2 linked regions of the Coturnix japonica genome follow. The protein of the gene in region 1 interacts with the protein of each later gene in a pairwise test. Links are inferred from orthologs where the notes say so. Each region holds a gene or a part of one and is shown on either strand. Other genes may lie near its edges.

Region 1 (2,697 bases):
CAGGCATATAACCGACCTTCCCCCACTGCATCTTGCTGTAAGCAAAACAGGAAACATTCTGAACTAGAAGCTGTGTATCTACACACAGACTTATCCTCCATGACTATGGGCTCATTCATTTTGTCTCCAGACAATGTGACAACCCCTACCACAGTTATGAACTAAGCTGGAAAAAACCAAAACCCTCTTTTCTACGCATGTTCTCAGGATAATACTTATTTTTGCACATTCTCTCATAAGAGAGAGATTAGAAGCAATGCAAAATAATTTGAATCTTCTGGTCTGCTTGGACTTAAATCTTATCACAGCTGCATCCCCATGGTCAGAAGTCTCAGGACATAAGGAGAAGCCACCCTTAGCTGTTAGCCTGCTTTGCTGCCTCAGGACTTGATGTCACTGCTGTGAGCCTGACCCATGGAGCACAGACTGCTGCTTCTTTGGGAATTAGCGCAACTGAGGAAGCTGAAACCATCCCAGGAGAAAATGAAACATAAACAAGGCACCCTACTCACATCCTGGGAATCTCTGGAGGAGGTGTCATCCAGGTCAGAAGTCTGAAATAAAACCAGTAAGTTTGTTACTCCTCATGAGTGAATAAATGGCTGCAATGGAACACAGAGGACATCAAAAGCTCCAGAAGATAGAAATGTGAACTAACTTCCTCCTACACTCATCTGACCATTTGGAGAAAGCACATAAGATGCCACAATAATTACAAGTCTTCAGATGTCTCATTTAATTCCATGAACTCTCATACCCTGCTCCTATTTCACCCAAATGGCTTGTACAGACTCCAGAGTTCACTCTTTAGTGGGTGACAATGCCTTTATGGTGTCTGGAAGCACTCCAAATGTGTAAGGCTTCAGCAGACCAGGGTGAGCTCCTAAGAACCATCACGTCTTCACAGAAATAAATGGTTACCCAAGCAGGTGGCCACTGCTTGCTGAAATCGGATTGGTTAGGTCTCAGTGTCTCAAAGCAGTCTTATTTGGATCCTAGACTCAACACTTTCCAACTCATCACACACAATAACCCCACAAACATACCAGTGCAGGCAGCTCCAGTTGCAGCCTTTTCAGCTTGGTTTCAGTAGCCAGTAGCTGACTCTCCTTTTGGAAGAGTTGCAGCTGCAGCTCATCGCATCGCTCCCCCAGCTCCCGAATCTGCTTCCGATAAGCATCCCTCTCAATCAGGTTCTTTGAGTACTGCATGTAGAACTGTTCTCTGGTCAGCAGTGCCTGGTGTAAGAGGCAACGTGTTGTAGCACGACACCACATTCAGGGTTACAATACCTGCCTGCTTCAAGCAGCAAGCCAGGGATTAGCAGCAGCTTCTGGAGGAACGTTTTATCACCTGGTCTCTTTCTGAAGCCACTTCCTCCATCTGCTGTAAGACAGCATCCATCCGTTTTCTATACATCTGGGAGTCCTTCCTCAGAGACATGCACTGTAGTTCAAGTATCTCTTTTTCCTCTGCATACTGTTGAGACATGGCTTGTGGGGTGAGCCCAAGCTAGAATCTCATCACTTCTGCTCTATATCACAGATTGCTATAGCCAGACTTCCCTGCAACACCAAAGCCAGACTGCCCTGCCGGAGCAAAGCCAACCAGAAGACCAGGCAGTATGACTAGAAAGCCTGCTAACATGGCAGATTTTACATGTACCTGAGCTGTCAATCATGATATAAGCTCCCATCACCCTGCAGGCTGAGGCACAGGCATCAACAGGTAACACAGTTAATGTCACAGACTCAGACCACTAGAATATTAGCACATCTTTTCCCTCAAACTGCAACACAGACCCTAGAATAGAAGCATCAGCGAATGCTGCCTCGCAGCTCTGCTGCTTCACTGGTAAGACACTTTATGTGCTTAATCTGCCCATCTGACCCCACTGAGCCCCAGCAGGGATTTGTACTGCACCACACACTTTGTCTCGGAGCACCTCGGCTTGGCGCAGCTCCTTGCGGAGGTGGTACAGGGTGTTCAGCAGGTCCCTGCGCTCCAGTATCTGGCTGCAGTCATTCTGCACAGTCTCACGGGAGAGATTCTTCTCCAAATTCTGTTCTCTGGCAACCTGCTGAACAAAAGATACAGCAACCATCTAACTCTGAAATCCAACGTGCTCTCTGTACAACTTGGGAGAACAAGGCCATAGCTGACCCTCAAAACACTCAGTACAGCTCCATCGCTGTGCTGGCTGCATAGAAGAATAATTTCTTTAGATTCCTCACCCAGTCACCCCCCCACCAACCTGGAGAGTGTTCTCCAGCTCCTGATTCTTGGCCAAAAGCAACTCCTTCTCCTGCTGGATCTCCCACATCACTTCATGGCTCGGACGCTGTTCTATGGCGTGCTTCAGTTTCATTGAGTGTTTACGCTCTAGTTTGCAGTCATCCTCAGCCTTCATGAGGCTATGCTTCAAGCTGTCAATCTACAAGGAGGTTCAGAGCTCATCAGTAACAGACACAAAAGCCTGGTTGCAAAAGCAGTGCTCTCGTGGCAGAGTTCCCCATTTATCAGGCAAGCATGGTGCAAGCTTTTCCCCAGCTCTATGTTCCTTAGGAAGTCTGGTGTTCTGGGGAGCTGAGACTTTGTGCTAAATGGGTACAACAGGCTGGTTCTACATTGCCCTTGTGAGAAGGCCCAGCCTCAAACAAGGGGAAGACTCGATTCTTCATGGCACAGCTTGTAACA
Region 2 (3,944 bases), on another chromosome or scaffold:
TCTCTAATTATAAAACACATTATTACTTGCTTGATCAGCTCTTTACCTGCAAACTTCTTTTAGCTACATGTGCAGCCCAGCTTTCATAATGAGCCCTGGTTCATTAGTGCTGCAGCACTACAGCACGGAAGCCTCTTTACTCATTCAGTGTAAGCCCAAAACGGAGCCAAATTAAGGCAGACTATTTGCAAACCGATCAACCAAGGCAGAACACAGAGACTGCAATGTGGTCCCAGCAATGGAGGAGGTGTCCTTTGCCTACAGGTCTTACAATCCTTATTTTATCACATCACATGCTGCTCTCTTTCATCTCCACAGATGCTCCTCAAAGCCTCCACTCTATGATATGACTCTATGATTCGTCCCAGTGTTCCTTCTCTTCACCTGGGGTTAAGCAAAGTAACACAGTCTAGGGAGTTCTGTCTATCCAGATTTCCCCCTATCAAGGAGTGCATATAGATGGCAAGCCCAAGCTTCTGCAAGACAGTTTGGGGATGAACTGGAGGCAGAATTGTGCAAAACCAGTATAGAAACACCACTCTAATGCCAATTTTTCCACCTGTAATGCTGGTTCCCATCCCAACAAGGGTCCAAAATGGAAACAAAGGTCTCCCAGCCTCCATCCTGCACATGAAACTTCTGTTTGCATTTCCATGCCCTGCTCTCCTGAAGGGCATCTGCATAACTTCACCCAGCTCCCAAGGAGAGGCCACAAAGCAACAACAAGAAAATAAAGACCGCACCTTTCCCCATTTTACCTTTACCAGAATGCACAGCAAATGGGAAGCCTAGAATGGCCAATGCATTCCCAAGGAGAAATTAAAACAGTTTTGTTACAGTTTGGAAGATCTTGAGATAGGGCTGAGTGGGGTCTGAAGGCCTCAGGGTAGGGCTGAGGGGGTCTGAAGGGCATAGGGTGGCTGTCTGCAGGGGTGAGAGGATTTGAAGACCTTGGGGTGGCTTTTTGTAGGGCTGAGGGTGTCTGAAGGGCATAGGGTTGCTGTCTGGAGGGGTAAGGGGGTCTGAAGGGTTTGGAATGGCTGTCTGGAGGGGTGAAGGGGTCTGAAGGGCTTATAGGAGGGCTGAGGGGGTCTGAAGGGCATAGGGTGGCTGTCTGCAGGGGTGAGAGGATTTGAAGGCCTTGGGGTGGCTTTTTGTAGGGCTGAGGGTGTCTGAAAGGCTTGGAATGGCTGTCTGGAGGGGTAAGGGGTCTGAAGGGCTTATAGTAGGGCTGAGGGTGTCTGAAGGGCATATAGTGGCTGTCTGCAGGGGTGAGAAGATTGGGCAGGCCTTGGGGTGGCTTTTTGTAGGGCTGAGGGGGTCTGAAGGGCATATGGTGGCTGTCTGCAGGGGTGAGAGGGTTTGAAGGCCTTGGGGTGGCTCTTTGTAGGGCTGAGGGTGTCTGAAGGGCTTGGAATGGCTGTCTGAAAGGGTGAAGGGGTCCGAAGGGCTGAGGGGTTCTGAAGGGCATAGGGTGGCTGTCTGCAGGGGTGAGAGGATTTGAAGGCCTTGGGGTGGTTTTTTGTAGGGCTGAGGGTGTCTGAAGGGCTTGGAATGGATGGCTGGAGGGGTAAGGGCATCTGATGGGCTTGGAATGGCTGTCTGTAAGGGTGAAGGAGTCTGAAGGGCTTTTAGTAGGGCTGAGGGTGTCTGAAAGCCTTGAGGTCAGGCTGGGTGGGTGGGTCTGAAGGGCTTAGGGTAGCTGCATATAGGGCTGAAGGTGTCTGAAGGCCTTGGGGTAGGGCTGAGAGGGTCTGAAGACTCGGGATGGCTGTCTGTAGAGGTGAGGGGGTCTGAAGGGCTCAAAATGGCTCTCTGAAAGGATGAAGGGGCCTGAAGGCCTTGGGAAGACTATCTATAAGGTTGAGGGGGTCAGAAGGGCTTGGGGTTGTAGGGCTGATGGGGTCTTAAAGCCTTGCAGTGTCTGCCTGTAGGGGTGATGGGTCTGAAAACCTTGGTATGGCTGTCTGTAGGGGTGAAAGGGCCTGAAGGCCTTGCAGTAGGGCTGATGGGGTCTAAAGGGCTTGAGGTAGCTGCCTGTAGCAGGGAGGGGATCTGAAGGGCTTGGCTTGGGGCTGAGGGAGTCTGAAGGGCATGGAGTGGCTGTCTATAGAACCAAGGGAGCCTGAAGGCATTGGGATGGCTGCCTATAGCGCCGAGGGCTGCTCTCTATCCCTCATCCTAAAGGGGGGAAACCTCCGAGGCTCACCCCGCTCCAAAAGGGAACACGGGGAGCTAAATCCACGCCCCAAACCCCCCCCAACCCCAGCAGGAAAAGACAGACCCGGCTCCCCTCGGTTCCCCTCGGTTCCCCGGTCGCGATACTCACCCGCTCCCGGCCCTGGGGCCGCCTCATCCCGCCGTTCTCCCATATTCGGGGTTTTAATCCTCTCGGCTCCGTTCCTTTCCCTCACGCCATAACTCCCGCCCGACCCTCCCCGCTCGGCTCCGCGGTCCCCGGGGCCGGGCGGGTTGAAAGGGGGGGGGGGGAGGCAATCAAGAGAAACGAGGCGGCATTACGAGACCGCAAAACAACGCCAGCCCCCAGGGAGGGGAAGGCAACACCGGGGAGGGGAAGGAGAGGGCGGGCCGAGGGCTGAAAAAAAACAGAAAGTGAAAACTGAACCGGAAAGACAGCGAGACCGCGCCCGCGGCTTTCCTCTTCCCGTGGGTCAGCGTGGCACAGTGACGTTCCTATGGCCGTCCTTCAGCCGGTTCCCTCACAGAGATCAGCCCTGTTTTACACAGACCCCTCTTTCAGACCTCATCGCCTTCCCTCAGCCCCTTCCCGAACTGATCTTAGCCCTCAGCCCCTTCCCTCACAGATCTCAGCCCCCATTGCCATCCCTCAGCCCCTTCCCTCAGCCCCTTCCCTCACAGATCTCAGCCGCCATTACCTTCCCTCAGCCCCCATTGCCATCCCTCAGCCCCTTCCCTCACAGATCTCAGCCGNACAGATCTCAGCCGCCATTACCTTCCCTCAGCCCCCATTGCCATCCCTCAGCCCCTTCCCTCACAGATCTCAGCCGCCATTACCTTCCCTCAGCCACCACTGCCATCCCTCAGCCCCCCATTGCCATCCCTCAGCCCCTTCCCTCACAGATATCAGCTGCCATTGCCTTCCCTCAGCCCCTTCCCTCACAGATCTCAGCCCCTATTGCCTTCTCTCAGCCCCAATCGCCATTCCTCAGCCCCCATTGCCATCCCTCAGCCCCCATTGCCACCCCTCAGCCCCTTCCCTCAGCCCCTATCCTCTCAGATCTCAGCCCCCATTGCCTTCCCTCAGCCCCTTCCCTCACAGATCGCAGCCGCCATTACCTTCCCTCAGCCCCCATTGCCATCCCTCAGCCCCTTCCCTCACAGATCTCAGCCCCCATTGCCATCCCTCAGCCCCTTCCCTCACAGATCTCAGCCGCCACTGCCTTCCCTCAGCCCCTTCCCTCACAGATCTCAGCCGCCATTGCCTTCCCTCAGCCCCCATTGCCATCCCTCAGCCCCTACCCTCATAGATCTCAGCCCCCATTGCCATCCCTTAGCCCCTTCCCTCAACCCCTTCCCTCATAGATCTCAGCCCCCATTGCCATCCCTCAGCCCCCATTGCCATCCCTCAGCCCCTTCCCTCACAGATCTCAGCCCCCATTGCCTTCTCTCAGCCCCAATCACAATTCCTCAGCCCCCCATTGCCATCCCTCAGCCCCTTCCCTCATGGGGAAGCTTTGGTTGGGTGTATTTTTCTATGTTTGCTAGCTATAATTCAATGAGTGAGCATGGTGGTGACATCCTGGCAGTTGGACTTGAATATTTGGAGGTCTTTTCCAACCTTAATGATTTTACAAATCATTTCACCATCTCTCTGGACCTTCACGATGCTTCTAGCTTGCTTTTTTTTTTTTTTTATTCTCTGTAAGGTGTCAGCACCAGCCCAGAGGTATCAGTGGACAATA

Evidence for each region. The genes of interacting proteins can lie anywhere in the genome.
Region 2: the proteins of CARD9 (region 1) and TASOR2 interact in binary tests that used the Homo sapiens proteins (3 or more experiments, as listed by UniProt). The two-hybrid records come from large-scale screens. The link is inferred for Coturnix japonica from reciprocal best matches to the Homo sapiens genes CARD9 and TASOR2.

Annotation. Positions count from the first base shown.
Region 1 is NC_029532.1:6,405,222-6,407,918, reverse strand, and holds part of CARD9 (caspase recruitment domain-containing protein 9), read right to left. Parts: intron 2,435-2,697; coding exon 2,255-2,434; intron 2,081-2,254; coding exon 1,931-2,080; intron 1,480-1,930; coding exon 1,354-1,479; intron 1,239-1,353; coding exon 1,047-1,238; intron 555-1,046; coding exon 513-554; intron 177-512; exon of another isoform or gene 1-176. UniProt on the Homo sapiens protein: Adapter protein that plays a key role in innate immune response against fungi by forming signaling complexes downstream of C-type lectin receptors.
Region 2 is NC_029516.1:1,112,297-1,116,240, forward strand, and holds the start of TASOR2 (protein TASOR 2), read right to left. Parts: upstream 2,814-3,944; 5' UTR 2,373-2,813; coding exon 2,330-2,372; intron 1-2,329.